Linked DNA regions of Lepisosteus oculatus. The protein of the gene in region 1 purifies or fractionates together with the protein of each later gene. This does not show direct contact. Links are inferred from orthologs where the notes say so. Each region holds a gene or a part of one and is shown in the gene's direction. Other genes may lie near its edges.

Region 1 (10,651 bases):
GAAAATTGTCATGTTGTGGAAGTTTGTGTGTTTTCTTTTATTTGTATGAGAGAGAGAGGTTAAAGAGAAAAAAGTTTTGGTTTACGCCAAACGCGCCCTCTTCTAGGAACAACGGTGGAAAAAAAACACATCGCGATTGGACCGCGGGATAAAAAAAAGTCCCTTCACAGAGTTCACGAAGCTGTTTACCTCAGGGGGTATGGCCAAGTTTTCTTTTCCAAATGACAATATTGTTTTAAAACCCGGCTTAAAATTGTGGCCTGGTAATGATAGGGTTATTATTAATAGTAGGGTTATTATAGGGTTAGAAAATGCTGTAGTTCAGATTTGCTTCACGAGGCTTGTCCTGATGAGTTAGGAGTTTTTGTTCTGATAAAATGAAAGTTGTTGCGGTCTCTGACGACGCTTCCACAGCGCACACTCAAGGAGACCAGAAACTGGACTTTAATTGCTGTTCACTTCCCCCTCTGGTCTCTTCCAGTGTCCTGTCATTGGTGGCAAAACACGGGGATGGTTCTGTCAGATCCGGTCTTTAATCTCCACCGTCGAGCGAGTGTAATTAATGAGCGCTTCCTGTAATTACCCCATAATTATAGAGGAGAGCAGAAAGAAAGCTTCCTCTTTCCTTGGTAGGGACTCTGTAGGTCTCCTGGAGAATTTGATGGGTTGGTTTTTCTGTTCAGTGCAAAGGGGCACCTGCGGGGCCTTTTCGTTTTGGACCTTCCCGAAGCACGAGGCTGAAGGAAAAAAAGCGGCCTACCTATATTGACCCCAGTTTGAGTCACGTGACGTCTATAGCGTGGATTGGAGTTGTCCCCCGTGAGGAAAAAAGCCTTTAGACTTCGTATTTCACAATGAAAGGATTTACAGATCGAACGTACACAAAATAACAAAGCAATTCTCAGGCTGTGACAGGAGGTCACATACTGGGCTGCCAGTTCAACTGAGTTCCCTCCTCCCTCTCCCAGTAGGATTGGGAACTGTTGTGATTCTAGCCGGTGTGGGAACTCTGGGATTAGATTTCTGAATTTAGGTAAAAATGTTTCTCTAATCCCAGAGTATCTGTCCCAGTGCAGTAGGAAGTGCACCTCTGTCTCTATTTCTCCCTGCTGGCAGTGGGAGCACACCCTGTCCTCTCTGGACAGCCAGGTCTGCTTGTATCTCCCAGTTTCTATGGCCGGGCTGTGGTCACTGAGCCTGTCCTCTCTGGGCAGCCAGGTCTGCCTGTGTCCAGTGTGTGTGTCCAGGCTGTGGTCACTGAGCCTGTCCTCTCTGGGCAGCCAGGTCTGCCTGTGTCCAGTGTGTGTGTCCAGGCTGTGGTCACTGAGCCTGTCCTCTCTGGGCAGCCAGGTCTGCCTGTGTCCAGTGTGTGTGTCCAGGCTGTGGTCACTGAGCCTGTCCTCTCTGGGTAGCCAGGTCTGCCTGTGTTGCCCAGTTTCTATGGCCAGGCTGTGGTCACTGAGCCTGTGCTTCGTCAGGGTCTGTTGCTTCTCGCTGTTACTTATGCTGGTCAAATATAGTGTGTATGGTCTATTTAGGATTCTGTAGCATTCCAGTTTATGTTGTGTTTGTATTGCGAGATCCGTCTCTCTGTCTTGTAGTAAAGAAGGCTCATCTAAAGAACGCAGATGACGGGGCGGCTCACTGGGGTTTAGATAAAAGGGAAAAAGACTGCCCTCTGGACTCGTAAATGTGACCTCTCCCCGCTGTCTGCAATAACAGCTGCTGTGTTTCTATGTAACATGGGAACTATGGGTACAAAAGCTCTCACAGAGCCGTGCACCCCGCAGGGAGACGATGTGAACAGAGATGGGACTGGGGGGAAAAAAGACTCTAAAAGTGGCCTGGCTGATTTGTTGCCTTGTTATAAAGAGCCTGCAGGGAGCAGCAGTCTCCGAGCTCCCCTTTTCTATTTCGGTGACTCAAACTCACTGCTCCCCGCCCCGGCTCTCCCTCGATCCGCGGAGCCGTCTCGTCTTGTTATTTCCATGCTGTTGTGTAACAGCAGCCCAGAGACAAAAGCCGTGACTGTCCCTTCTCCTCATCCTCCTCCTCCCCCTTTTCATTTAGTCTTCACTGGCAATATCCTTCTCCATTGCCTCCTTACTCGGTCGGTCTGGGCTTCTGTGTGTTTGCCCCTCACCCAGAGACTCCACCGCGCGGTTGCCATTAGTGACTAAAAACCGAGGAGCATGCTGGGATAGAATGACATAGCAATTTATTGAAAGTTGGTAAATTAACTAGTAAGTTAGTTTGAGTTATTGGAGTTAGTAAGCAGTGGCCCTGTCGCCCCCTCTGTAATGTTTTCGGCTTAGTGTAACGAGCACACAGTGTATGTGAGGTCCCCTTCAGGCGTTCTTTAGAAGCCTGATGGGGCATTTCAGAGTCACAAGCAGGCTGACTTTTGCCATTTTCTGCACATACTAGTTCACCGACCAGAGCTGGTTTTGGAGAATGAGGCCGCTGGACTTTGGGCTGAACGTGGGGTTTGGTAACTGGGGGTCTCTGGGGTCCGTGTGCTGGTCTGGAATGTCTGTCCCTCGGAGAAGTCGTTTCTATGCTGTGTTCTGTTTGGGACGACCATAACACATACTGTGACAGCTAGGTAATAAAATGGGATATTATGTATGGGGACTGTCTTGCCTGGTCTGAGGGTGCACTGGTTGTTTAGGGTGATAAAAAGAAGAGCTGTATCTGCCAGCAGCTGTATCACCCTGCACCTCACCGCTGGCAGCCCACTGAAGCCCATCAGGTGTGGGCCTGGTCAGTACCTGGAGGGGAGACTCCTGGGAAAGCTGAGGCTGCTGCTGGAAGAGGTGTTAGTGGGGCCAGTAGGGGGCGCTCACCCTGTGGTCTGTGTGGGTCCTAATGCCCCAGTATAGTGACAGGGACACTATACTGAAAAAAGGTGCCGTCCTTTGGATGAGATGTAAAACCGAGGTCTTGACTCTCTGTGGTCATTAAAAATGTTTCTGGAGAAGACTAGGGGTGTTACCCCGGAGATCTGGCCAAATTTCCCCCTGGCCTTTACCAATCATGGCCTCCTAATAATCCCCATCTCTGAACTGGCTTCATCACTCTGCTCTCCTCCCCACTGAAAGCTGATATACCGGTGCATCATCTGGTGGTGGAAGAGGGAAGTCCTCATTGCCTGTGAATGTCCAGAGAAGCGCTGTATAAGTGTGAGGAATTATTATGATAACTAAAATCGAGCGATTTTTGTTTTCTCGCAAACGGTTTGTTTTTCCGTATTGGTCAGCTAGTGCTGTTCAACCACTGAATGCAACTGAACGGCAGGAAGACAGGATTATTATTATTATTATTATTATTATTATTATTATTATTATTATTAACCTGTTGTAGGGGGAAGAGGGACCTTTATAATTGTTAGGAATCAGCTAAAAAAAGAAAAAACTATTCCTGCATGTAAGGGACAGCATCAGTGACACGAATCTACTTTGTTTAAATGGCTGCGGCTGCCAGAGACAATCAGCAATAACACGACTGTGTGTGCCCAGATCTGGCCAGCAGACGCAGCAGTCCCTAGTGGAATGCTTTCCAGCGCCGGGGTCGAAGAAGGTCAGAAAATCAGATCATTTTTTGTGCTTGCAGCCAGCCTGAAAAACAATCGAATGTGTGGCTGGAGGTGGGGGCCAAAACAGAGCTCAGAGCTGCAGTGTTGATCAGAATTGCTCTGGACTGCTCAGTCCAGTTACTGCACAGCAAGCCCTCTGGGTTATGAGCAGGACCGGACTGTGGTGCTCGTGGGCCCTCGGCACTTTCACTCTGAGTTGTGCCAGGAGAGGGGTCAACGCCAGTTGAATGACGTCGATGGACAAGATGCACTTGAAACTGTTCTCATGCTAAACCTGGGGATTGCTGGGGCGAGTCGAGAGACCATCACTTCCACACTTCTAGTTTCTCGAACAGCCTCTAGAGAGCGTGTGATTGTAGATATGGAGAACCGAGAGTCGATCGCAAGCGTGTTGTTTCAGCTCGTTTTTCGTGAGTCACTAGTGTTTCACTCCTTAATAGGCCCTAGACACTGTGCCTGCAGTGCCTAATGGGAAATCCGGCACTGGTTATAAGTACTTATTGGACAGGCAATCAGATGTGAATGTCAGGAATGATTTCCATTGAAATGCAGTTCTAATTGTAGTTTCTAGATTCTTATGGATTCTCTTACCTGATCAGCAGTTTCTTCTGTTTTGTACGGTATATACCACCCTTCCCGATGGAGAATTATGTTAAAAAATGCTCGCAAGCAGCTGATGGGTTCATTCTAGTCAAATGAGAACACACTCATATTTGAATATGCTGTAACACCTTCAAGGAATGTGGCTCATTTATAGGTGCAAACTGGAAAGAAATGCCAAATGCAGAGAGACATCCCACCAGCATTTGAACCTACAGCCATTAGGACTAGAACCCAGACAGGCAATCATGGTGCAGCCCGAGTTCTAGATTGTTCTCGCTGCTTTGGATAGGATGAACCAGTCTTTTGGACTGGATCCAGTCACGTGGGTAGTTTAAGATCACTTTATTGGCCCTGTACAATTGTGTACAAACGGGAGAGAGGGAGAGTATGGGGGGCTATTTTAAGCACAGAGTAAAGAACAGTAAGAATCGAAAATAAACCAAGCGGGCATTTTGTGAGAGAGCTAGGCGGAGAGCAGTCTCGTATACCGCATTTGACTGGCACGGAAATAGAAAGTTATTTTACAGCGCAGGCAACGCACGGTAGTAGAGAGCAACTGTTCGCTTGCCTAACCGGTACACAAAGCTGTGGTGACGTGCTTACGCGCAAGTGACTCGGGTGCATCTAAAACATAGGTCCTGCGCGATCATCATCATTTACAGTCAAGAGAACGGGAACACGGTTTTGGATGAAGCCTAGCTGTAAAAGTAACAAACACCCTGAACAAACATCCGCAGCCGGAACGGTTTTCTTTTTCATTTTCAGCGGGGAATTAACCTCTACGCGTTCCTATAAATACCATTGATTAAATATTAAAAACAATGAGACGCATTATATATATATAGAGATGGGATCGTCATTCAGGTAGTTTATGTGGGTGTGTATAATGAAGACATTTTCTACGTGTATCTTATTTGCTAACATTAGAGTTATAACGTTTACAGTTTTAGCTCCGTAAACAAAACCTGCCGTTTGGCATCTTTTAGGAATCTTATAAGTTGACGATTTCTGTGCACGCACATAAAGAGATTAAAAACACCGACAATTAGCCATATTGACGGGGTGTCATTGTCCACTTAGACCCTGCTGGCGTAGTGAATTCATTGTCATTTCTAACAAGAGCGCATCTGACATAGCATTGCCGCGTCTCATCCAGAAAGCTTGAAACCGGTCGCCGCTGTGACTGTCGCCACCCGTTGTGTGCTCTGTGACAAACGTAGGCTGCTTGTGAAAGTGTTATATCACATCCAGTCCGCAGCGCCTGTGCTTTGCTGGGAGAAATAACTGCCCGAGTTTTTCAAGTAAAAGCCAGTGACGGCGGCACGCTATGGAAACTCCTTTTAACTCCGTGCAAATTCTGGGATTTTCCCCTGATTTAGGATTGATAGTAACGATCAGCCAATAAGCGTAAACCTGGGATCGGTCCACTCTATGAGAATCCCAATACATACAGTAATACAAAGATTTCGAAAAGGCAGAACTTGTTATACATGACATTATGAACCTGACGAGCTGCCCGGCCAAACAGAATACAGTACGGCAGCCTAGCTTCCCTCTCACACACAGGCAATGGAAAGTTGCATTGATCGATGGAGGGAATCGACCAATCAGCTTCTGACGCTCGATGGTTCCGCCTCTCCAGGGGACCGTGTTGGGAAGTGATTGACACGACGTGTAGCCAATAAGTGCGCACGCAAGTGGTTGCCATATTGACGCGCTGACGTAAGGGGCTGGCGTTTCGGTCTTGAGCGAGGGGGGAGGTAAACAAGATGGCGACAGCCTGACGGCGGCTGCAAATTTAAGGGGTTCAAAACCTATCCTATTTACACCGACACGGATACACGCCAGGAAAAGTAAATACGTAAATTAACATACATCAGCGAAGCGCTGCATGCCGGATTTTTGGAGGCCGAGGAAGAGATGCCAGCGACGGGACGTCCATAAAGTGATATATTAGGAGTAGCAGTCGTACTACTAATTCGGTCTCTCTGGATTGTACTTGACATCGTATCTGCTGGACTTCAGCTTTGGTGACTAGAAGGAGGGTCTCCAGTCTGCCGGTTCTTTTCCAGAAACATACACATTTAAAAAAAATAAAGGCAGGACAGGCGTCTGGAGATGAAAGAGTTAAGCAGAGGATAAACCGGGCACGGAGTGCCGGGGGGCTGGTGCGTTTTTATTACGCCGAGCAGGTAAGAGACGAGGGTTTTCATTATTAATATAAACAAGTCAAGTGTAGTGTTCAAGCAGAGGGATCCGAGGCCGTGCTGCCTCTACGAAACGAGCGATTAGTATTTTTTGAAGCGGTGAAGTAAAAGAGTGCAGCTTGGCCGTCAGCGTAGGTTCACATCTACTGATCTCGGGTAACGGGCGACGGATTTCTGTTTGTGTTTGGTTTTTTTTTGCTTCAGCCAGCGCGTAAAACTGTAGCATTGCTGCACTGGGTTGGCTAATTTATTTGTTGTTGTTGGTTTTTTGTTTTGTTCAAATAAAGCCAGAATAGGTCGAGAACACTTAATATCTTACGCCTTGGAGCTCTCGCGGTGTCGTTTGTGCTAGCGTCCGTTTACAATCTGTAATGTGCCTCTTGGCTGCAGATGACACGTACAATGCATTGTCGTTGTTTCTATTTTGCTATATCAATGCATGTGCAATGTTATTCTTAACATAGTCTTAAATTAGCTTCGCAAACTGCCTTACGTGTATCATTGATCTGAAATATTTTTCTTGCATTCCAGATATTGGATCTTCGTTTGCTGCAACTGGCTAAGGACTAATTTTAACTCTTTGATAGTAGTGTGCTGGGAATCCTAAGGATATGAAACCAGCGGGGGGATAGGGAGTCAAGTCTTCGGGAAAATTTCCCTTAAAAAAGCAGTACCAAAGAAGATCTCGCTTGTTACAGGTGTGAAGAAGACGGGGAGGGGGGGGGGAGGACACATTTTCTGCCCGTTGGATGACGTCGGTGTCCACGGACTGGGGGCTCCTTGGCTGACGGTGGATTTGCACCCCGATGCCAGCAGGAGCCAAACACCAGGGACTGTCATCGAGTTAGAATTTCCACACTCCTCCACCTCCACCATCACGGGGAAAAAGAAAGCATAAACCGACTACATTTCTCTCCCTGGTTTTGTGAAGCAGCGGGGTGTAATGTGAAGGGGCACCACCAGACTTTTTCCTCTAAAGTGTATGTAAAAGCCCCCCCCCTCACTTCTGCATCCGTGTGTGTATCAGGAACTCCAGTCCGGGCTATGCTGCTTCATAGCTGAACTCTGGCAGAGTCTGCCCCTCCACCCCCAGTCTGGTTCTCCTTGGAATTCCCGAGCTCTTGGAGGTCTTATCCACTGGGTGCTGTAGCTTTCTTGTTCCACACTTCTCGCTTGGAGAAAACGGAGGGATTTCAGGAGTAAGTACCTCTTCCCTTCCTCCAGCACCTCCTCCCCCCTCCCCCCTCCCCGGGCCCACCTCCTCCTCCCCAACTCCGCAACCCCTGAGCTGCAAAGATGAGCATGGACGAACTGCAGCGCCTGTCCCTCGACTACCTGGCGGAGCCCGAGCTCATGGGCATGGACACCTTCATCCACCGCATCGACTCCACGGAGGTCATCTACCAGCCCCGGCGCAAGCGGGCCAAGCTCATCGGCAAGTACCTGATGGGGGACCTGCTGGGCGAGGGCTCCTACGGCAAGGTGAAGGAGATGCTGGACTCGGAGACGCTGTGCCGGCGGGCGGTGAAGATCCTGAAGAAGAAGAAGCTGAGGAGGATCCCCAACGGGGAGGCCAATGTCAAAAAGTAAGTCCCGGCTCCTGGCCCCAGATCCTCATCTTTTGGGCTGGGTCTGAGCCCCCCGACTGCTGCAGGCACCCTCTGTCTGCTTCTAAGAAAAGACCACGGGGCTGTCTTCATTTTGCTGGACCACCCATGGGCCATGGACCATGGACCACCCATGGGTGGTGTGGGTGGGGTATGGGTAGCCAACGTGGATGTCCGGGCGAGGGCAGACCCGTTGAGTGCCGGTGACCTGTGGCCAGTTGTGTCCCTGTGAGTATGTGAGAGTAGGCTATCTGAAGCTGCCAAAAGCCTGGGTGGTCTTGAAAGTGTCACTCTGGTCATGGACTTGTAAGGCTATAATTACAGTCATCCCTCGGCCTAAAGGACTAATAGGGAGGAGTGTATATATAGGAGAACAGGGAAGTCCATTACTGCCGAATATCCCTTTTTTTTTCAGCCTAAAAACATGCTATTTCTGCATATACATAATGTATTTTTCTTATGTATGTGCTCTGGAAGTTTTGACTTATTTAACAAGGGCAGTCAACACAGTAAAAATTGTTTCCATGCCTTTTTCAATCGTGAACGCACAAGCTCTTTATTTCATGTTGTAAATATAGCGTATAAATTTTGCTTAAGCATACGGAACACAAATACCTATTGTAAACAGTTGACCTATCCTTATCCTGTATTCTGGAATTTCAGACCTATGTAGTATTTATTTCTACCTTGTTTTATGTGTGGTATTTCTGATTATGCAGACAGAATTCCCCTGGAGTTGAGCTTGTCTGTTAAACCGAGGGTTGACTGTAATGGGAGAGTAATGCTGTAGTTTCTGTCCAGATAGCATCAGTCCGTTCGAGGGGGTGAAAGTCAAGGGAGGTCTGTTTGACAGGAGTACTTGTCTGGGGCCTCAAGAGCGATTGTGAAAAGACGTGACGCAGTGCATTTGCTTAGAAACCCAACTTAAACGGGTGCAAACTGAACTGCATTTTTTTTCTCCCCCGACTTTCATGTGTTTTGCTTGTGAGCAGCCTTTCTCTGTTTATGGCCATTTAAAACGGCAACACGCACAGACACACGGACGGGCTGAGCTGGCCCTGTTTGGCAGCCACCCCTTCTCCAGGAGGTGTACGAGGGCGCGGTCTGGTCAGGGTGGGTTCTCTGCCGAGTCCGGCAGCGAGTCTTTGCGCGAAAGACCACCCCTCGCCTTACCTACATGTGGGAGAGATGCTGCTTTTATATTGCTACCAAAACCTCCAGAAATGCAAGAGCAGCAAACCTTTATTAAGCAGGATAGGCACCTAAAAATAAACACATTATATATTTTTAGCACAGCTTGGTAGGACGCTGAAAGTGAGGATAAGAGGCGATGTGTGGCAGTTTGGTATTTTTTAGGGGCTGTGGGGGTTCTGGAGGGGAGGGAGGGGCAGGGTGCTTTCCTTTTGGAATGGGATGGAAAGACTGGAAGAGCATGGGGGAGTGTAGGATGAGCCCCAGGGCAGCAGGTCTGGGCAGCGGGTCCGAAGGTGGACAGTGGTGTGAGGGGAGTGATTACCAGTTTGTTGCTGGCACACTTATAGTGGTGTTTTTTTTTTTAAAGAAATGATGCGCGGAGATTGTTGTTCAGGGGAAGGAAACCGTTCCGATCATCCAAATGCAGTTCAGCGACGGTGGTGTGGTGCTATGCAGTTCTACTAGGTCTGCGATGTTAGTCTGCTTTTCCTTTTCTGGGGACTTTGGCTTTCTTTGCACAGGAAGGGTCCCAGAGCCCTTGTGCAGTATTAGCTCTGGAAATGCTGTGCCGAGACAGAGGTGCCTTTTCCTATTTTCTTTTCACCACAGTGGTAATAAATAACCGGTGGGGTAGGGTGGGGGCTCCCATTGGTGTACAACAAAGGATGAAAATGTGGCCCCCTCCCTTATTGCCCTCATCCATGCAAAACGAAACCCTCACGACGCAGGCACTCCTACAGAGCGTTCTCTCTCTCTCTTTTTTTTTTTTTAGTGACATTTCGGAAAATGAAGTTTAAAAGGGCGGATGGGAAGTGAAATGCGTGTGCCTGCTTATCACGCCTGCATTCGCATGTTTCTGTGTCGGGAGCATCCCCTGCTTCCCAGGCGGGGAAAAGTCTTCCCGCGGATTCAGGCACTCCTGCTGCCCTGCCGTGTGGCTCAGGAATAAACGGGGTGAAAGTTGCACCTGCAGAGTAGCAGACAAATGCTGGCACAGGACGTCTGCACCTGCACGCCTGCAGTCTTAAAGTCAGAGTGAGATTGCAGGAGCCACCTGTGTGGACTTTGCTGTTGTTTTTAGTATTATGTGTTTTTAATTGGGGGGGGGGAACTCCTGGGAAGTGCAGGAATGCCATGTGCGCTTGTAATATACTGTCTACAGCCTCAGGCCTAATTCAGTGCCACAGGTGAGTACAGTTGGGCAGAGGAAGTGCAGACGAAGGGCACTGGAAGACATTATGGCATCGCCTGCGATTCGCCTGAATGTGTCTTCACAGCCTTGTCCTTCTGCACTTCGGAGACTGTCCATTCTCTTGCTCCTTGCACCTCCCTCTTACCGGTGGAAAAACCAGTCCAGTCCTGACAACTGGTTGATGTGCAGGAAGGCAAAAGTGCATCTGAATGTACAGTGCGTTAGGTGGATAAAGGCGTTTTGCTATCCCGCT
Region 2 (11,195 bases), on another chromosome or scaffold:
ACTTTTTCTGAAATACCTTTGAATCTTCGAAGATTAAATCCTGCCATTTGCAAGAAAGATATGTTTACTTATTAGACTATGTCTTTACAGCTATTTGTTGTTACACTACCGAGTGTGGAGAGCCTGAGTACCTAAAGATAGGCCAAACACCCTTGTTTCTTGTTTGAATAAAGCTTCAAGCTGGCATTTCGGAAATCCTCAAGAATAAAGAAATGACTGTAATGTACGCACCTTGGTAGCCTTCCTATAAGGTTCAGGGCATCTGCTGTTTCAGTATTTTGGGTTAAATTCCCTGACACTAAGTGGATTCCTGTGCACCATATATTACTCTTCAAGTCTCAGTTTTCAAGAGGGAGTAGAACTGGGAACTGAGAACTGGAGGTGGGCAGATGTCCTTACTGTGAGTAAATGCAGCAGTTTTCTAGGGAACTGTTCAAAGCAAGGAGAGCATCTCCAAGTAAGGGGAAGAGAAGAGAAGTGATAAAATCTCTTTTCATCTGTTTTGTAGCTAAGAAGTACAACAAAAGTTAGCGCTTTCAAGACCTGTCCTCTGTAAATGAACCTTATAGCTCATCTATCTAGGACTACAGGTGTGGTTCCTAGGACAAAGAGAGATTGTCAAACATTCAACACTTAGCCACTATTGAGTCCTGTTCAAAAACCTGGAGTCAGGATGGTCTATCTTTGTCTTCGAAAATTGTAATTAAAAACCATCAATGGTTTACAGCACCTGCTGTAAGATTTGCCAATTGATATTTGAAGGAAGATTCAGAAAACAGCCACAGTGATAATGAAATGTACTATTCCACCAGCCCATGGTACTGATATTAAACGCATTTTTTTTGTGATTTATTCTTCATCTGATATACATGGAATGAAACCAGTTATGAGCATTTAAAAGTAAAAAAATGTATTGTAAATCTGTATCTACTGTACATTCTCATTCACAACTAGTTGTAATTAAGCTTTAAGAGATAGTGTTGTGATTCATAGTACCTAGAAACAAGCTTTACAATTAAAAATAAGAGATGAATGTCAGCTGATGCACAAAAGAAATTAAACACTCACACCTAGTCGATTATATCTCTATATTTAACAGCTAAAAAAATACATAGAAAAGTAGAACCAAAATGCAGTCAAGAGAATCATTATAATCTTCAATATGATGCATGGCACACTGGTAAAGAGAAATCATGGTGAATTTAGTCATTTGCAATCCACACAATCCAGGTTTGAGGCATGTATCCAATCACCCTCTGCGTAGACAGTTATGGGATGGACCAGCAGTGGGATAGTGGACCAGTAGCAGTCTCCTGTCGATGGAATTGGCACATAAGTCTCACAGATGCTCTACTGGACTCTGATCATGATAAAAATCTGGACATGGAAAGACCTTATGAGTGTACCATTGTACTACTGGATAATCATCACTTCTGGGCTGGCTCACGATGTTAATTGTAAATAATCTTATACTGTATGTGTCCAATGAAGTACTGGTGGAAAACGTAGACTTTTGTATTTCCATTGTCCACCAGTATATCACACCAAATTTACCCACAGCACTATTTTTCAAAGGTACTGTGAAAATTTCAGTAGACATATGTACAAAACCAGATTCCTGAATGTGTTTACCTGTAGGTTATATCACTCATACTACACTTGTTGTACTGTAACTACTGAAGAGAATGTTCACGCTCGTAGAGTACATACACTTGCTGTACAACGTTCGTTGTAACTACTTAAGAGAGCTTTAGTGCCTGTACATACACAGAGATTTAATAAATTATTGATATGCATTTTAAAACTGTACTAGTACTAGTAGACCTGTGTACCAGAGTATGACAAAACTGTGCATTCTGTGATGCATGTCCTTTTATGATGTACTGTAGTATGCATTGATAAATAGTCTGTTTTATAGTAAATGCCCCCATAATAAGCATATAGTTTCTACTATGTATATTAGCTGTTGTATTGGATTATACCACCTTTTAGGTGTTTTTACTATATTCATTTACCACATTGTCCATTAATTTAATAACTTTTAATTAATTTTGTGCTTTTCATACAAATAAAAACAAACTTCTCAGTCATATAGCCTGATAGTCATTGAACGTCTTTCTTAGTCTGTGCTGCAGGCAGAGTTTATGCTAAGGTTTCGCTTGTTGTCTTACATGGATGTTCTTATTAAAGGACAGTCCTTGGGTGTCAAGACTGTCTTCAGGGTGAGAGATGAACAAGCAGAACAGGCTTTCCTTCAGTATTTACTTTTTAGAGTTGCTTCCCTATAAGACCTGGAGCAGTTATATGTTACTTGTGGCACCTGTGCATGATTTTCATATAACAGTGACAGAATTATGTACTGTACCTCCTATTTTTGCATCTTTGTTACAGTGGAGGCATGGGATATGTAAACATTTGCAAATTGATGACATAGTATAGGAGTGTTTGTATTGCTCAGTTTCAGAAAGAGCATACAGGAAATGGATTCTTACAGACAACATCAGTGCGAGATCTCTTCCACTCTGCATTTCTCTCTCTCAAGGCTGAATGCACCGAGATATACAGTAGCATCGGTTAGGATTTAAAGATATAAACTAATCATCATGTCCCTCTTTTATCAGTACCATGTTCAAACTAGGCAAAAATTTAAGTATATAAAAAATAAAGGGTGAAATCTACACCTTATGAAATGTTTCAGAGTAACTTTTCTCTTCTTGTGTATTGTAGTTTTTTTTAAACTTATTAAAAAGTAGAAGAATTTTTGTTATTGCTCTCCAACAATTTAAAACCAGGTAAAACGTAGTATGTTAAATAAATGGTCATGTTCAATAATGTGATGGCAGGGTAATATAGTGGTTAGTATTGCTGCCTCATAGCGCTGGGGCCCTGGGTTCAATTCTGGACCCGGGGTGCTGTCTGCATGGAGTTTGTATGTTCTTCCCATGCTTACATGGGTTTCCTCCCACAGTCTAAAGACACTGTACTGGTACAGTAGGTTAATTGGCTTCTAGGAAAATTGGCCCTGGTGTGAGTGTATGCTTGTGTCTGTGTGCCCCCTGCGATGGACTGGTGTCCCATCCAGGGTGTATCCCATCTTGTGCCTGTTGCTTGCCGGGATAGGCTCTGGCGCCTCCACGGCGCTGAATTGGATAAAGCAGTTAGAAAGTGGCTCAATAATGACTAAACCAGTGTTCCAAGATATTTCCATACGTTGTGTTAGATTCGGCTTCTTCTTCAGAATGTAATTCCATCAACGATGGCAAGCCCTCTCGGTCCTGAGGCACTGAGATGGCTGGGATGGCTGGGTCCTGAGGCCACGCTTGATGGCTGGGATGAGGTTATCTTATTTGAAGGCAATGTTTGGTTTTGCTGCACAAAACATTTCTCACTGTGGCCACCTTTGACTCTTCCATCCAGACAGTCCATTCCTGTCTAGAGTCGACAGTGCCCTAGTCCACTACCCCTACACAGTGTCACCAGGTCAGCATTTTTAACCTTTAAAGGTTGGTTTGTCTCCGATGGAGAGCTGCAAGCAATCTTTAGCAATGTCTGAGTCAAAGGTCTGAGAGGAAAAGTAGTGTTGTCACCACTTCAAAGGGAAAATGGTAGAATGTTCATTACTGAGGGAGGGCAGCATATAAAATATATAGAATGATGACAAATTGTGATAAGAGATTTGAGTTTAGGTCTGAATCAGGTCTTTGGTTAAATTAATTAATTTGTCTTAAACTAGACCAAAGTGTAAACTATACCTATATTTGTGTGGCTGCTACCCAGCACCCTGCTGCCCTTTGACAGTGATCTTATTCAAATACTTCAGTTGAAAGGTTAGAGACCATCATGTGTCAGTCATGTTTTATTATATGTACTGTATATATGATACACAATTGGGGGATTAAACACACAAGATACTTCAACAGATCATTGACAACCTTTCCCTAGATTTTTTTTTTTGTAAATAAAGATGTATTTTTGGAGTCCTGTACCATCAATAGTTATCAAAGCTAGTATTCACTATACTGAAATAAAGACAATTTTACATTAAATACTGCCTGAAGGAGTCACAAATATAAAAAACTGCGAACATGGAAAAATAAACCCTTCTCTTTATTTCTTTTGAAAGCCTTGTCCTTCTTTGCAACCTCTTACCATGAAATGGGCACTGGTTAGAGAAGCCCCGTAGCAGTGTTGCTCAGTTATAGAGTGTAGCCTAACCACAGCAATTGGTCAGGCAGATCATTTCCTCTTTCTTTAACTGGTTACTTCACCATTTTACTTTTCACCTTATTTCAGAACTCGCAAATTCAACAACTGAGGAATGCTATTCTGTGCTTTCCCTCAATCTATTTGTGTATAAAGCCACACTTCTTGTTTTCTACATTGCGATACTTTAGTTGACTGTTGATTTGTGTTGCCTTCTTCAAATCCACTGTGCCTAACTGGTGTTGTGGTATTTTCAGTGACACTTTAAAAGGAATTACTAAATGGCTACTACTGTAGATTGTATGCAGTTTGATTGAAACATGAATACATGTTTAATGCATTTTAGATTTCATTGTTTTACTAATGACTTTTAAAGAAAGTCAAGAATAACTAAACAGGCTACCATAATGTAATGATATTTAAAGTACCATTTCGTACTTCTTATAAAGTAAGAGGCAGTTTTATTTGCAGGGATTCTGGAAGTTTAAAAAGACTAAATATCTTATCATAATGCCATCCTCTTATGTAAAGGTATTTGGGTCTTTAACCATTGAAAGATATATTTTATTATTTTGTGTTTGTCACATGGACTAACTATTAAACTATTGAAACCACAGATTTCTACAGTGAATCGTAAGTTTGTTTCCATACATTGGGCCCAATGATGATTAATCACGATTGCTGTCTTTTCTCTCTGTGTGAGTTAGGGGGATGTTTATCAACAATGATAAGTTACTGCACACAATTTAAAGAAGATATACAATCCCTCATGTGTAACTATTCTTAATGACAAATATCAATCAAATATTTCAAACAAAACAAAACACTATTAACTGCACTTCCAGTCAAATCACCATTTGTATTTAGAACACATTCCGTTGTTCTTGTGCAAATTTAATTGTTAATATCATTTTAGATTGTTTCATCTCGGTAATCAGACAACAATATAAATGTAATCCAACTTCAGCACTTTCGTTTAGTATTAATTTAATTAAATACAGATGTAAATTATTATTAGGTTAAGTGTCAGTACTAACCATAAACACTACAGTGTTGCTCTCATACAGTACTCTTGGACACAAAACTGTAGCAAAAGTAGAACAACAGAAACCACTGCAAACAGGTACTGTAAATGTGGAACAAATGTTGCTGTTGTTGTTGTTGCAAATACAAATAAAGCAGCTGTTTACATTCCTAACACCGTTTAAAAATACTAGTCTGACCCTTTGTATTTATATTAGACATCGGATTCGTACAGTATAATCAGCCACAGGTTTTGTGATGAAGAATTAGTTCTGTATGCATCTTTCGTGAGTCAGCTGTCTACCGTCTTCTCCCTTAAGCTTTGTAGCTTTGGTTTGTGATTGGTGAAATCAGACAGTTCATCATTGAACACCTACGCTTTTGTATCACTTTGTAATACAAAATATTTTTTTGTTTTAAGTGCCCCCCTGCGTAATTAAATTGTTTAATTTCGAGTCTTAAAGAATGTTCACGTCCCATATATAAATAATACATGATAACTAGAATAAAAAAAAGTTCGGCATTCGTCTTGTGTACACTTATGAAATACCTATAAAGTAATTAAATAATTATCTAAGTCACGTCTGCCCAAGTAGAGGCGTGAATAAATGGAAAATGACAATTAAAGACGAAAAGTATACTTGAGTGCGGTTGGCTTTTTTTAAACTTTATTCCTAGTTTTATAGTTATGGTTGAGAACGAAACGGTAAAGGCAGCAAAATACCGTTACAACGTTTTTATTTTCTTACCTACCGCCGCTGTTTTCTACGCTAGAAAACGTCAACCGCATTAATAATCGGTCTGCATGCTGTAGCGCCGGCCTCCGCCTCCCTGGGCTGTCAGTCACCAGAGCAGCACCCGGCCGGAAGCGCTGGGACAGAGGCTGCTTATTTTAAACCTACAAATTCAAAATTGTAACACGGTTGCAATGCGGATATTTTTATTTTAGGACGTCCATCATTTGCCAGCAGCGGTTTTTGGAGGAAACGAGCAGTGCAAAAGGAAGAGGGAAAGTGTTTGCTTTAGTGCAGGACTGGTACGCAGTGGGGAGAGCACAGAGGACTGAGAGCATTGGTTTATTGAGCTGTGTATGTTGCATGAAATCTCAGTTTTTTTTTGTTTTATTTGAAGACGTATTTTAATTCTGGGTATCAAACGCGCTCGTCAATAAAGTATTCACAGGGGAATGTTGGAGTGAAGCAAGGTGGGGAGGGTTATTTTTAAGGGGAGCTGCTGTTTTAGGTTAGATATGCCGATAACTAAATGGTAAGGAGCTTATTCTGCAGCTGCATTAAAAATAAAAGGAGAATAGGCTCTTGACATCTTAAGAAGAACCAAGACAGGAGGCGCAGCATAAGTGTACATACTTTTTTCTCGGTCTGTTCTGTTGTTAAAGAGACCGACCCTGAATTTGAACGTGAGCTGTCATTATTAGGCAAAATTAAGTGTAAAACATGGCTACAGTCAGTGGCATTGCCTCATCAATTGCGAGTAAAACGAAGACGAAGAAGAAACATTTTGTTGCTCAGAAAGTCAAGCTGTTCCGTGCCAGCGACCCTCTGCTGAGCGTCCTGATGTGGGGAGTTAACCATTCTGTGAGTAAACGATTTCAAATATTACGTCTTGTTTTTTTACTTGCGTGGTTTCTGGCGACCTTCAGGTGCCGCTGATCAAACTTAATGCGCTAAACTGCCTGGGTAGTGAAAAATGCACCCACTATCCGCATTTAATCAAAATAATACGTGATACAGTACTGTAAAAAGAGAGCTTTCTCCTAACACTGTTTTGTAACGTATTTGCATGTTGCCCGCACCCCCTTTGAAAAGCGTGTGATTGCTTAGCGAAGCTGAGCGAATGCATTGACTCCTGACGTAATATTAAATGATCAAAACGTCTTGGACTTTTTTTTTTATTTTTGAGTTGTGCCCAAATCGCAATTGAACTCGGAAGTCAAGCTCGCTCGCTCGCTCGTTCGCTCTCTCTCTCTCTTTTTAACTGTCATGAATTAAACTGTTTTCCAAGGGAGTGTGGCAATCTTTAAATGTCTGGAAGGTGGGGATGTTGTGCTGACTGCCGCCGCCGCTGTTGCTGTGAGAGTTGTCGTGGTTGGCCGGGGAACCTGGTGGTTTGCTCACCGCGGAGACGGTGTCCGGGTGCGCCGCGTCTACTACGTAGCGTGTGCGTGTGTGTAACGAGCCGGAGGGGAGCGTAAGTTGGGTTTGTAAGAAAAGCATCCGGTCCCGTCAGTCCCGAAGCTCGTCCCGGGCGGAAAGTTGTGGAGGTCCCCCGACTTGCAAGTGAAAACCGGACGTTACACACGGTGCATGCGGGTGGCTCTGCAGGGGGCATTTTTGTATAGATTGGGGGTGGGAATCGGAAAGATGTTTTTTTCAAAATTGTCAAACGATGGCAAATCTCGTCTCGCAATCGGCATTTGGATACTGTAGTTTGGTCACAGTGTTGGTGTTGGGAGCACTCATCAACTACATCAGTTGTAAATTGCAAAATCAATAGAATTCCTAACTGACAGCTTGTGCAATACCTGCATAACACCACACACTGGTATCGATAAACATGCTTTCCAAAGCGCTGTGGATCCGGGACATCATCATTGTTGTCGTAATTAATAATATTGTGTTCTGTGTAAGTTAAACAGACGGTAAAAGATACATATTCCTCACATTGCCCTATGGGAATCTAACAGACAAGCACTTGGAAAGCCTTGCCTTCGCCTGTCCGTACAGTTGTATCAGTTAAGAGAAATGTGCTTGCCGAGTGCACTTAACTATTATTTCACGGCTTTTTTACTCCCTTTCTCACACTAAAACGACTTATCGGCTATTTCCTTTTGAGTGATATTTCAACAACTCCAACTTCCCTTAAAAGCCAAGTTGCTGCTAGACCTGATGCATATCTACTGTAAATCCCACTTCTCTCCAGCCCGAGTAACCGAGAATGGTGCACCAATCCGGAACGTTACTCATACACACACCCCCGGTCCTGTTGAGTAAATGTTGAGTAACGTTTCTGAGACCAAAACTAACCTCGATGGCCTAAATGAATGTAATTACTGTAGTTGAAGACTTAATGACTGCGTTGATTATAAAAACTCTTGACTGACCACCCTTCATAAACTAGGAGTGCGTATTACTGCATTAGGGCAACAGGTGGTACAGAAGTCCCTTTAAAGACTCCTACTGTAGGTGTTTGCTTTCCTTGGGAGTCTTAATTCTCTCTTCATGTAAAACCTTCGCTTCTGTCTGCAATGGGGCAACCCCGACCAAAAAGTTCCTTAGTATGGTCTTCACTGCTTTAGCAAATTAAATTCTGTTAACATACCGTACTTCACTTCAACAAAACGTCAGATACCCAGACAAAAGTAAAGATTGGTTTCCAATACCACACAGGGATATGTAGTTCTGATTTGTGGATTGCTTTTAATGTATGACATGGTTTTAGGATAAAAAGATTCAGGGCTTTTAAAAGTGGTCTACATTGTTTCCCCTACACTATACAGCAGGGGGGAGATAATTTCCAATGACATGCTGATTTATGTTAGTTATCTTGATAAAAGATTGCAATTCTGGTAATTTCAGTCAGTAAGTGGAGCTTGTAACTGCTCTGCTCTGATGGAGACCAGTTTCTATAAGAAGTAGTTGCGAGGTTAACATTCATGATGTATTCTGAAGATAAGGATGAATTACAGCCATTAAAGTCAAGGGAAACTCTGAGTTAAAATAATAACACAGAACATTGGGATATTAATTCAGTGGAATCATTACACAATAGTTGTGATAAATGCCAAACAAGTGAAATATGCAAATGGAGATCGAAGTTCTATGACTTGATGTTACTTTTTTCGATCAATGTGGGATGACCTGAATTTTAACCAGTAATCGTAGTATTTGAAAAATATATATTTTTCTTTTACTCTCTTTTGTACTAATGTAGTGCAGAGTGTTCCAGTATTAAACTCATCGTCTTTAGCAGGCTCACCATTAGTATGATGTGGTGATTTGCGAACTGTGCACCTGTGATTAACTTCTGACAGTTTGCATTTGCGATTAGCAAATGTCCCAGCTTTCATCCAGACAAGGGGATTAAACTGCTTTATCTAGCATTTAGACATCAGGTGGGCGAACTGCTGTAAGCTGCTTTAGTCCCGGCTCAAATCAAACGTACATATTGGGGTTTTTTTCTATGTCTACTGCTGATTTGAAGTCTGCATTTTGACTTATTTACACCTACTGTAACTGAGCAAAACTTGTCAACACTTTAGTCATTGGTAACAAATGGCATTAGCTTTAGTTGATGAGATTGCACTGTCTGTTCAGGATTCCTAGGTCCGGCAAAGAGCTTTTGGCAGCCTGTGGTTATTTCCTCCCCAGCAGAGTTCTGTACTACTCAGAAGAAGGAAGAGCGGAACAAAGAGACAATGTTTGGGAAAAGAAGTGGAGATTCTTTTTTGGAATGATCATGTGTGGTCATGTCATATTATCCCACATTTGCTTTAAAAAAAAGTAAAGGCTATTTACCACTTGTTACAGAAATAATAATTTCTTACACTTCTATAGCTTTTCTGGACTCCACTCACAGCACTTTACAGGTAATTGGGACTCCCCTCCATCACCACTACCAATGTGTAGCTCCACCTGGATGATGGCAGCCATATTGCACCAGTGTGCTCACATCAGCTATCAGTGGGGAGGAGAACAGAGTGCTGAAGCAAATTCACAGATGGGGATTATTAGGAGGCCATGATTGGTAAAGGCCAGGTTGAAATTTGGCCAGGACACTAGGGATTTTTAATGACCACAGAGAGATTTACATCTCATCTTGTAAATAGGATGGTGCCTTTTTTGCAGTGTTGTGTCCCTATTACTATACTGGGGCATTAGGACCCACACAGGCTACAGGATGAGTGCCCCCTACTGGTCCCCCCTAAAACCTTTTCCAGCAGAAATCAGACCCATGAGGTCTCCCAGATACTGGCTAGACTCACACCTGCTTAGCTTCAGTGGGTTGGCAGTTGAGAGATGCAGGATGATGTAGCTTCTGACTGTATCCTATACAGTAAAATACACTAATACCAAACCATTATAACAGTATATTCCTCTTCTGAAAAGAAATAATTCAGAATCATCTTCCATATCTGGCAAAAGCAGGACTGGTGTGGAGGAAGATAAGTGAAGGGCTTGATACTGTATGTGGACACTTTTTAAAAATGACTTCCTTTATACACGCAGGTCAATGGAAATATGTTTTTACAAAAAGGGAAAGTGCTCTGCTTGTAAAGGAGGCAGATGATGGAAGAAACATTATGAATGCGTTTTATGCAGGCTTCAACACAAAAGCGAAAGGCCTTTTCTCCAACTAAAAATTGTGAAAGAAACGATAAGCACTAAATGCACAGGACATTGTTTGCTGCCTTAATGCTTAAAGAGCTCCTTATTGGATTTCTGTTTAGAGCTTTGCGATTTTGATGGCACTTAAACTCCTCTTGTACCTTATTGACCCAGGCTATTGCTCTCTAAACAGTGGTGACAGAACCCAAACATTTGCACACACTCTCAACACCACCCTCCATGTTCAGATGCACCACACCCTCCTGTTTCTTTTGAGCAGGGCGACACTGCTCGAAGATTGTGAACACCACAGCTGCCAGTAAGTGTCAATCCGTTCTGGCCCTCACTCTGCCTCTCCACCCCAGAAATGAATTTGTCCACATTTCTGAGCCTTATTGTGTCATAGCCTTCAGGTACAAATGCATTAAACTTGCTTGAAGAGATGCAAAGGCATACCTTCACTCGACTGTAGTTGTACACTTCTGGTAGTTCTCTGAATTTGTAGATTACTTTTTACCCCCTTACAGATATGCTTGTATCTGCAGTCAGATCTTTCGGAAGCCCAGAGATCCGCCTACTTCCTGTTGCGTCATCGATTAGGTGTTACTTTTTACAGTAGACTTC
Region 3 (11,435 bases), on another chromosome or scaffold:
TGTGAACTCTTAGGTGATGAAAGAACTCTCATGTGCTAAAAATGTCTGTAACCGCTTCTCTGTCTGAAAACTGATTTCTGAACTGCTCTTGAATCATATTTTTTTCAGGTGAAAACCCCAGGGAAACAAAATCTGCCAACAATGTTATCTGAAACAAGGGAATTTTGGTTAGGGTTCAAGTGGGTTTGATCCAATAAATGGCCTTCTGTGAATACATGTCTTTTTAACATAAACGAGAATTTATTCTCAACTGACTTACCTGGTTAAAAGAATATCAATCTGTTACATGTATACACAGGTACAAAATTTTTCCCACAATGTTTTTCTCTTTCTAAAATAACACTGAAGTAAACAGTAGATGCAGGCAGATCCGGACCTATATGATGCCTTTTGCAGCAGGTCTTTTTGCAGCATGAGAACAATTCTAACAAGCACGTGCTTTCACAACATGATGCATTATTGGACCATAATCATAATTATCATTCAGAAATTTTCCAGCTCACTTTCAGAGCTATGTCTTCTGGGAGGTAAAATTAAACAGAATGCCTGAGACAGGGCATTGTGCCAGGCAACTTTCAAACCCCCATCAAAATGGCACACAGCTGACAGCCACAGTCTCAGGGCACTCTACTTTTGGAAGCACAAACAATGATAATGACTTCATGCTCTCTTTATAGGGTCAAAAGGCTTCAAAGCTTTGGGTGAGAGAGCTATGAGAGAAAACAATACTTTTATCCCATCAAGTCAATCATATTCTCATGCATTCCATGAGTCTGGCTAAGAAGGCAAGTGAAGACTTGATAATAGAGTTTATATCCAGCATTTGGCTTTAGCTTTGCTCCTTTCCTGGACTCTTCGTATGAAAACTTTATAAAACAGAAACAGCCAGGACCGACAGCATACAGGCAGAGCTGTTAGAACCCCTGCCTCAAAGCTCTTTGTCCCAGGGTCTGATTCTGGACTGGTGCACCTTGCATTTTCTCTTACTTCTAAAACATAGACTAGCTACAGTAGGTTAGATTGATCAATATTAATCAATTTGATTGATTCATATTAATCAATTGGTCCTACAATGGACGTGTGCCACATCTATACTGAAGACAGTCTTGCTCTATAAATTCTGCCTGTTGCACGCTGCTCAGGCAGACAGAGGACAAAGCTGCAGTAATACAACATAGCATTAGCATAGAACATGCAGATTCTAAAGGTTCTTGAACTACTTGGAATTAATAAATCTCCAGGGCCTGATGGAAAGTATTCACAAGCTATTAACAAAATTCCAACAGTCCCAAAAGGCAAGGGGTAGTACCTCTATAACATGCAAGGTTATAGAAACAATTTTGAGAACTAGAGCATCATGTACTGTATATAGATAACAAATAGGTTTTAGAAAAAATAGGTCTTGGTTAATTAACTTGTTAGAGGTCTTTCAAAAGGCAACAACAGAGCACGGGATATTTAGACTGATGTTAATCATAAAAGATTTATTCACAAATTTCAGGTAGTAGGAAGTATGGATTAATGCACAGACAAAATAGAGTACAAATAGGGGGTGAATTCTATGATTGGGGTGCAGCACTACAGGGATCCTTAATAGAACCACTAGAACTGTAACATACGAGAGGAGGCTATCAAGCTGAGCATTGAGATAGGTAGTAGTTAATTGATTCAAAGATGTCATCCAGCCATTTCTTGAAACTGTTTCTTTCTGGAACTTTCTTGTCAAATTTCTTACAGATAAGGTTTTCATTACCTAATTACATTTTCTTATCAGGTGTAAATTGCATTAAGAAAAGATTCAGCCAATGAGCTTTAAGATAAGATCACTTTATTGGCCATATACAATTTCTTGCATTAGGAATTTGTTTTTTCGCATACCCAAGCTAGCTCTCCATGAGAGACACAGGCACACAGACGGGGAGAGAGAAGCCTGGGGTCAGAGCACAGGGTCAGCCATTTATACGGCACCCCTGGAGCAGTTGGGGTTAAGGGCCTTGCTCATGGGCCCAACAGAGTAGGATTCCTCTCTGGCCACAGGATACAAACCGGCAACCTTCCAGCCACAGGTGCAGATCCTTAGCCACAGAGCTAACATCCTGATGATTGACCATTTTTTTTACTATTGACATTTTTACTTCTTATGCGTGATGTTCTGTTGACATTATGACAAGTTTTACAAGGGCATCACAGCACAAATCTTTATTTTGCTACACATGAGGGAGAATATCTGCAAGGTACTGGCAGGAAAATGTACGATTATTGAGATTCACTGGATGACTTAATCACAGTTACTGGGCTCTGGTTCAAACGTATTGCATTACAGCAGTGAAGACACGTATCTGTCAGGTGGGGCTGCACATTGGTGGTATTGAAGGGGGTCCCCATTACCTGTAATGCCCTTTGAGTGGAGTGTCCAGAAAATCACTATATAAGTGTAAGCAATTATAATTATTATTAAGACCTTGGCCTGTTCTGAACTTCACTGGGCAGTAATGTGCTCAGTGAGGTGTTCCTTAACAAGTGGTAGTTTTATTTTTTGTCCGGAGTGGGAAGAAAAAAAGTTACATTAAACTGTAAGTTAGTTTTAGCCAAGAACTCTTTAATACTCAAAAAAGAATTAAGAAATACACAAATTTGCAGCTATTGACCTTCTGACATTTGCAGTGTCATATATTTTGGTATTTATACATTATGTTTGACTGATTGTAATGGTGAGAATATTTCCTTTAAATTCCTGCATTAATTAAACTGTAGTATTATACTGTTACTAATAATAATTATCATTATTGTTGTTTTTATTTTATGCACAACCTTTTATGACATCTCAAACTCTTTATACGAATGAAATTCATAGGAGCTCTTGCATACAACAGGAATAGAGATACAGTACAGTATGTATGCTCCAGTATTTAATTAAGATCCAAGTCTTTGAGTTCTGAACATATTGCAACTGAGGTGTCAGGAGAGCCAATCAGAACAGCTTTGGTCTTGTGAAAGTTCAGATAGAAAAATCTGTGAATGTCCAGCATGAAGGGGCATATACAGTAAATAAAAACTGTGGTGCTTTCATTAATGTGTGAGGGGAAAGACAGAAGACAGGAAGTTATCATTGGTGCATCCCACAGCATTTCCTTTTTTGTTCCAATGGCTGTACAACAAGAGTAACCAGGACCTTGTAGAAAAGCAAAAAAAAGATTTTGCTAATGTACTGGAACAATCTTCCACTACGTAAAAAAAGACCACACATCCGGTGCTTGATAGCATGAACTGAATGACCAGTAACAGGAGGGGATTTACTGGCTGCACTAGGAAGCTGACCTTCAATGAAGTGGTCTGACCGGCCTGAGATAAGAGTCCTCTGACTAGAGGGGCCTGTGGGACCCAGCAGATAATTTGTTACCCACGTGAAGACTGTCCTATCGCTGTATTTCAAGGTACTGCACAGATTGAAGTGTACCATTCAATCTCCAGAAAACCAAAAGTCAGATGCCAGTAATTTCATTCTTGTTAGGCAATTCGAAGTGGGAGGCAGGGAGTGAAAGGCAATGGTCTACACAAGGAAGTTACTGTACCTAAGTGATTGCATGTTTCAGGTTTATTCCGGATCTAAAGAGACATAATAGTTTATGGAGTGAAAGTACTTTGTTTTGGATTGTTGTGTCCCTTGCTGTGCTTTATTTTTATCCTTGTTCGTGTATTGTATAAGCACAGGCTATTTCTGTGTCTCATCAAAGTATGGTATATCAACATTCAAATGATGAATCCTGTCCCTTCTTTCCTGAGAACAATGCGCAATAAAAACAGACTATCTCATTTAAAAGCAAAGCGTGGGAGGTTATTTTACACTGCAATCTCCAAAGGAAAAATAGAACACAATACATGATATCTAAGCTTTGTTTTTACGGATTTCCTGTGTAATTTGAATGAAAGAAAACTTTCCCTTCTAAACAGGAACCATGTCTACACGAGATAGTAAAAGTCACATTTATTTAGCTCACTTATTTAGAATTCTTGAGCTCTTTTAGAATCTGCTCCATAAGCATTTATGTGCAGTGTTTAAATTTCTTAACTAAAGCAATTGCCTGCATACTGTACTTACAGTAATTCAGTTAGGCATTGCAAAAACAAGTTCAATTTGCAAGTTTTAAAATGTTTTTGGAATATCAAAATCCATCTCACTGAAATTAATAGATCTTTGCAGATCTCAGTATCATGTACCTGCACTCTGAAATGCGTTAATACAGAAGATAGCATCTTAGGCTGATCTAAGTATTATCTCAGAAACATTTAACTGTTTATTGGTCCAATTGGCCCATATAATTTAATTCCTTCTAATTTAATAAATTATTCTAATCATTTGCAATTTAAACATGACTACACATGAAAAACAAAAGACATGTTAGCAAGACATGTATCAACAATTCTGGTCATTACTATGTTGCAACTCGCGTAATAAATGTAATATGTGAATAAAATTAAATACAATATCACTTACTTTAACATATGATCATTTTGTATTTTAATACCTGCTTCCTTCTCATCTATTGATTTCCAGTATTTACTGGAAAATACCCCAGGTGAAAATCCTAGATACTATTTCAGCTAAATTCCTGATGTGTCGTAAAATGGTGATTTTAGTTTATGGGCTCTATTATGGTGCTTTGTAAGGTCATTGGCCATTTATGATAAAAATAAACCACATAGAATCAATATAAATAAGCTTTAAAGAAACCATAGAAGTGCCCTAAAGGGCAGTCACTTTGCCTCAATTTTCATGTTCTCAACCTGTTAAAAATATATTGAGTAATGTTATGAATTTTTTAGGTCAAGTGTGAACTGTTGCACTATGGACTCTGTTGATGGATGTTTCTTGGATTAATTCAAGAACACTGCTAAGCAATCTTAGGTATTTATTTTTTGTAAATACCAATCTTCCACATGCAGTTCTTATTAGTTTATGACAGCTCCAGACTGGGAGTTTTTATGAGCACTCAGGATGGGAAAAGCAGTATATCGGTTGTGTTATCACACTTTCTAAATAGAGTCATTTAGGCTTTTACTCCTAATTGTAAAGACAAATAGCGGCAAGGTGAAAAATCACCACAGTAATGCTCCCAAAGGGTAATACGAATTTTAATCTTGATATGGTTTTGGATGGCGTCCATTTAATAAACTACGTGTAGATCATTTAGTTGAGATTTTTTTACCGTTTTATTTTTGTTTACGATGCATTTAAATTCACGAGACCAACATATAAACATGACCCTTTTACATTCGTAATTTTTTTTGGATAATTATTGTTATTTGTATCTGATAAAACACAAAATGCCTGCAATGACGACAAACGGCTCCGAGACTCCCTGTACCGTACCAGAGATTTTCCTCAGCGGTAAGATCGGAACAGTCCCTACCTCCGTGTCCCGGCTACCACGTTAAATAAGGAAAAAAGTTGCAACGCAGTGGTTCAGTGGAGCAAAACTCGGCTCACCCTGCATGGCTCTAATAACGACCGCAGAACAAGGAGTACTGATCCACCTCCTGGAACAGGAGAGCCAAGACTATGGTTTTCAATAACATTTTCACTCCTCAGTCAATAAGCAGGACGTTATAGAGCTGGAAAACGGACTGGTCATTTATGAATTTACTCTGGGTAATATACTGGGGTGTAAATAACAAAATACAATGATGTTTATTTGCATGTTTTATTTGAGGTTTTATTTGATCTCTCCGCTTCCCTGAACAACGTGGATTGGCACTTATACATTTCTTTACACCTCTTTCGTCTGTCAAACGAAACTTTAAAATCCCACGACATTACAATATCATGACGTTGCCGTGTTGGAACTACAATATATGAAATATATATCTTCAATATAATAACGTTAGTCACATATAACACTTTCCCTCTTGATTGAAATATTTAAGATGTAAATATAAGTAGGAAAGGGTTTAGTGACCAGGTCTAGTGCAAATGATCACATTACTCCTATCCTGGAGTCCTTGCACTGGCTTCCGGTCAAATTCCGTGTAGACTTTGAAATCCTCATGCTCACCTATAAGGGTCTGCATGGCTTGGCACCTCAGTATCTGTCCGAACTATTATCGCCCTACTCCCCACCTCGCAACCTTCGCTCTTCTAATTCTGCCCTCCTTACTGTCCCCCAAGCCTGTCTACATTGTATGGGTGACAGGGCCTTCTCCTGTTATGCCCCCAAGCTCTGGAACTCTCTCCCCAAGGATATCAGAGAGTCACCTTCTCTAAACTCCTTCAAATCCAGATTCAAAACCCTCTTCTTAAAGTAAAAAACCTTTACTTAACTGGTTCCATTCTTCACCCCTCTGCTTTTCTTAGTACCACCATCCACGGTCTCCTCTATATATTTTAATTGTGTTTTATCTTGTGTATTCTTTTTATTTATTGTTGTTGTCATTCCATAAAGCGTTTTGAGAAGCCACATTTAAAGGCGCTTTATAAAATAAAGTTTATTATTATTATTATTATTATTATTATTATTATTATTATTATTATTATTATTATTATATTTTCTTACCAGATTTTACGGTGGACTATCATGCGAAGTATCAATGATCTCCTGTAAAACATTTAACAAATCAGTGCGTTTAACTTTCTTTTTTAAGGCCACAGTCCGCTTTTTTAAAGCGAAATATTTGTATGGAGTGACATCTAGTGTTTCTTATTTCATTACATTCCTGTGAAACATCGGGTTTGCTTGACCAGAGAAAACGGATACATTCTAAAATGTTGTTGCAATATAGGTTTTAATATTAGGATGTACAGAAGTATAATAAATACCTTAATTTGATTCATTATTTAATTCTGTACGAAAGTTCTCCTTCGGAAGATCTACAGTAGTTTACTGCACACGATAGTCTATTAAATACCACGCACGTAGTTTTCCCCTCCACTAGAGGTCGCTAGGAAAGTTTCTGCGCCGTAATAATATTATACGCCGCACTCTGTATCCCCGGAAAGGGAAGTGTTTTCATCTGTTACTGTTTGGGTTGGTTTTCCAAAAATGCCAGTGGCGGTGATCATGGGAGAGAATTACAACAAACTTCTGGAGCAGTGTGAAACCCAGGAGTTGGAGGTATATAGCCGATTCCCTAAAAACAAGGTTGTGTGTTCATTGCCAGCCAGGACCTGGTGTAGAGACGCCACAACCGTTCAGTAACATCCCGGACAGTGAACACAACGTGTTGCTGAAGCAGCCGGCTTGCAGTCCTCAATTACTCGGTTACCTAGGATGCTGTTGTTAGACCTCGGGTGGTTGTTTAAAGGCAGTGATCACACTAGGGAAATATTTTCCCGATGTTTCATATGTAAACAGTATTTTTGGAATCAATGGTTCGCTGGTGCTGTGTCGCCTGTTCTATTCAAGTATACACGCATGTGTTTTATTGTCGTTTCCATCTGTGTCGGGGGGGCATAGCAGATCAGATCTCTATTTATGACTAGAAGGCTGCTCCCTTGAGCCAGGTGCCTCATACGAGTTGTGCACAGCTGTAAAAGTCTGCACCAGATTTGCTGGGGAGAAACCACGAGAATAGGAGAGCTTTCAGTCTGGGGTTGGGGGGTCACATAGCCACAGCCCGCTTAATCCTGCAGAAACTGGGGTAACCACGAAACTAGAGAACCGCTACAGTTGTAACAGCAACGTTTGTACGCAATGTCTGATGGTATTCATTTTATAAGTATTGATAACTGACGAATTTACTGACAGAAATTGTTACCAGTACGAGAGTTGTTGAATAGTTTTCAGTTAGCTTGCAGGAGATTTTCTACGTGCTCTATTAATACCTTTGAGTTCTGATAGGCATTACTTTCCTTGGTACTGTAATGTGTTTGCGGTATTCTCAAAGTGAAGGACAATGCAAGTATCTCTTACAATAAAAGATCGTCTAGTTTTGTTCGTTAGCTTAATCACTGGGATTTTCAAATTCAGTAACTGAAAGCAAAAGTGATCATATCTCTTGAATATACATTACTGCTTTTTTGGATATGATGCTGAAATTCATTGTGGGGATGAATTTCTTTTCTCAATTCCAATTGCATCCAGTGAAACTCGTTTTTTTAAATGGTGGCATATTTGAATTTTTGCATGATTATGGTAAAAATTCCACATTTGCAAAGCATTCTGAAATATTTAAATAAATATTTTTGTTAAAAGTTACATTTATTATTGCCATGTATTTTCTGTATTTTGTATATAATTACAATTTAAAAAGTGCTTTGTTTTCTTTCAAGGCACCTGGTGGCATTGCGACTCCTCAAGTGTACGGGCAGCTGCTGGCCCTATATCTCCTGCACAATGACATGTGAGTTATAGCAGAGTACATGTTGTCATTCAGAATCTGCCACTCAGGATTTACTGTCATCAGAGCAGGTTGTAGGCTCAGTAAATTACATTGATGGGCTACTTTACTGTGCATTGTGTAGGCACATGGGCTACTTGTTCACAACTGTTATGGATCCTTAACTTTTCATAGTCAAAAATAAGTTTCGAAGTTACGAATCCCTTCATAATCTAATATAGGGCTCTCCCCTCTGAGTCCATCCAGACATCTTAATTGTGATGGCACAAATAGATAAATCTGTATTGTGTTGATTTGCCATGACAGATGATAAGAACAGCTAGGATTTTCTTCCATATGGAGTAGATTTTAATATTGGTAATCATAGTTACAGGTGTAATAGATTTCTTCTTCCCCCTTATCAAAAGAAAAATCATAGGAACTTAGAAACATACAAGTTTATATGTAGATAGAACTGTTTTTATTGTTTGCATGAAGGTAATTGAGTTTCATATACAAAAAAACATTTAACTTTAAGCATAACTAATATCTGCAAAGACAGACACTGGTTTATAGTCTGTGTCTTAAAGTTGTAATAGCAGAGCACAGTCAATTAATCAAAGGTAATTACCTAGTCTCATCTAATGCAGCTTTAATGTTTTTGTGATAAAACACCATGCAGCACAGAAAACTGAACCATTGAAAGCACTAACAGCAAATGGCTTTAGCATAGTTTTACATGTTTTTTTTACATATGGCACTGGTTAAGTCTGTCATGGTGAAGCTGGTGATTTACCTAAAGCAACAGAAGCATTGCACTTGTAAGCTTAGCTTTCTCGAGACCTACACGTTCATCCCTTAGGATAGGTATATAAATAAAAATTAAAAATGGGACAGAGCATCAAAGCTGTTGGTCCCAACTATTTAATTCTTGTGGGAGTCACAAAGCTTTTGTGCACCCACGTCTTTCCTGTGTGAAAAAGCCCTCAAGAGACATCAAAGCCAGTCTGTCTGGACTCACCACATGGAAAGGATATGGAAAGTACTGGTTTGCATTGTTCTGGAATTTGAGGAATGTCTGTCTGTGTTCTGTTTTTAGGAATAATGCCCGGTATCTTTGGAAGAGAATCCCACAAGCAATCAAATCTGTAAGTACTTACTAAACTTTATTTGTGATGTATTAAAGTGATTAAAAACTCAGATATATTTAACATCAGCAGAAGACACATCTAACAGATAAGATGGTTTGGGTGTTTTTTAAAAGAAATCAATGGTTCTTGTTTTTGAAACCAGTTCTAAGTCTAGTTCAAGGCAAGTTTGCTTAGAAGTAGACAATAAGCATTAACATTTTGACAGCAGTGAAGTGTAGATTGCAAAAGAAATGTGCCCACAGAGCCTCAGATTCTGTAATATCTAAGCCCTTATGTTTAATACTCCCTGGTTTGGAAAACGTTATGTACTGTTATACTTAAGGTAATTTTTTAAAATTATTTTACTTTGAATGAAACAGAATAGAAAATGAGGAAATTAAAAATCTAGCTGCTGTGTTTTTAACACCCCTTCCAAAAAAAGAAAATTGATAGTTCTTGCAGAAGATATCTCCAAACTCTCGATCATTTTTAAGAACTATAATTTTAGTGCTAAGTATAGTCTTTGAATTGTTTTTTCCTTTGAAGTATAAAGATAAAAATAAGAGATAACAGAATGCTGCACTCTTGAACTGGGATGATTGAATCATGAGGGATTTCATTATCTCTGCCACGTGTCTCTGGCCTGCAGTGGCATCGACAGCTGACATTTAGAGCTGTTGGGAAACAGCTTAAGTAACCTGTTCCTGGGCTTCAGGGACATATAGAACTTTCTGTCTTTTTATAAGCTACACTCTGTTAATGTTTCTCTTTATCTGTCAGAAGTAAGCAGGGCACAGCATAAGATTCTGTATTTACCTCTCCTTTTCGTTAGTTTTACAACACCAAATTTGTTGTTGTTATTGAAGTGCCTTAGTGATTCTGTTGAGAAATGTCCCAAACAGTATATGTATATACTGTATATGAAGGCAAATTAGTGAACATTTAAACAGTTCTTATTTGGAGAATAGTTCAGCCCTGCTTTAGCACAAATTGTTGTTCGATCCAGTTGGAAGTAGAGTTCAGTTTAGTTGATTCCGCACAGAAGAAAAAGTTTTAATTATTATACACTGCTTTTAAGTGTATAATCTTAGTGGTGCTCTTTGCATTGTTGTATAAGCTTAAGTGGGCTTTATACTCTGTTTTTACCATGATGTAGAACTGTGTATTTATACAATAGACTATAGTATATTGTTGGAGTTTTGTGTTTTTTTTTATTTCCTTTAGTCATATTAACCAAGGACAACTATTAATGACATTATTTCATGCAGCACAGAGTCCTGCCTTTAAAATGTATTTCAAAGAAATACAGAGCAAATTGTAAACAGTTCTGTATTTTTTAAGGCAGTTGAACATTCACAAGTCAAAATAAAAAATATATTGCATAAATAGTTTGAGCTTGTTGCAACTCCTGTGAGAAAAATCAATTTGCTTTATGCATCATATGCTTTTCTTGTTAAAATTGTCATTATCTTTTAAATATGTTAGGAAGAAACATTAAGTTTACAGTCCTTAGCCTGAGATTCTGGGACATGACATGTAATGTAGACAAGTGCAGTGTGCCCCATGTAGTTAGCAAAAATACAAGCTATAAATATAAACTAATAAGCACAGGCATTGGAAATACTTTTTTTGAGAAATTCAAAGGTGTTTGGTTTATGTCATATCATTTACATTTTCTATACAATGTGAAGAAACACAAAAAAAAGTCAGGATATACAATACAAAATGTAGTATTTAAATAAAGGGACGTTATGCTAAAGTTGTCCGACGTACATTTTATGGAAAATATATTTCTGCTCTAGAATAAGTCAAGAGTGACATGATACATTCACAAACTCAAAGGAATGTCTTACAAGGATTTATTTCAGTGCCCATGTACATTTACAGTCCTTGGGACACCTCACAGGGTAAAAAGTCAAAATAACATTTTACAGAAATAAATATACAAATTAAAAATGTGGAAAAGGAGAAAAGGCAAACATAATTAAAACT

What was found.
Region 2: the proteins of stk11 (region 1) and pip4k2aa purify together in Homo sapiens (affinity purification with mass spectrometry; 3 studies listed by BioGRID and IntAct, counting the BioPlex papers as one, with this or other methods). This does not show direct contact. The link is inferred for Lepisosteus oculatus from reciprocal best matches to the Homo sapiens genes STK11 and PIP4K2A.
Region 3: the proteins of stk11 (region 1) and cops8 purify together in Homo sapiens (affinity purification with mass spectrometry; 3 studies listed by BioGRID and IntAct, with this or other methods). This does not show direct contact. The link is inferred for Lepisosteus oculatus from reciprocal best matches to the Homo sapiens genes STK11 and COPS8.

The regions. Positions count from the first base shown.
Region 1 is NC_090724.1:7,564,639-7,575,289, reverse strand, and holds the start of stk11 (serine/threonine-protein kinase STK11), read left to right. Parts: upstream 1-5,923; 5' UTR 5,924-6,390; intron 6,391-6,936; 5' UTR 6,937-7,701; coding exon 7,702-7,991; intron 7,992-10,651. UniProt on the Homo sapiens protein: Tumor suppressor serine/threonine-protein kinase that controls the activity of AMP-activated protein kinase (AMPK) family members, thereby playing a role in various processes such as cell metabolism, cell polarity, apoptosis and DNA damage response.
Region 2 is NC_090701.1:17,339,896-17,351,090, forward strand, and holds the start of pip4k2aa (phosphatidylinositol 5-phosphate 4-kinase type-2 alpha), read left to right. Parts: upstream 1-6,042; 5' UTR 6,043-6,680; coding exon 6,681-6,821; intron 6,822-11,195. UniProt on the Homo sapiens protein: Catalyzes the phosphorylation of phosphatidylinositol 5-phosphate (PtdIns5P) on the fourth hydroxyl of the myo-inositol ring, to form phosphatidylinositol 4,5-bisphosphate (PtdIns(4,5)P2). Has both ATP- and GTP-dependent kinase activities.
Region 3 is NC_090707.1:9,845,629-9,857,063, forward strand, and holds the start of cops8 (COP9 signalosome complex subunit 8), read left to right. Parts: upstream 1-6,989; 5' UTR 6,990-7,037; coding exon 7,038-7,109; intron 7,110-8,266; coding exon 8,267-8,337; intron 8,338-9,412; coding exon 9,413-9,461; intron 9,462-11,288; exon of another isoform or gene 11,289-11,435. UniProt on the Homo sapiens protein: Component of the COP9 signalosome complex (CSN), a complex involved in various cellular and developmental processes.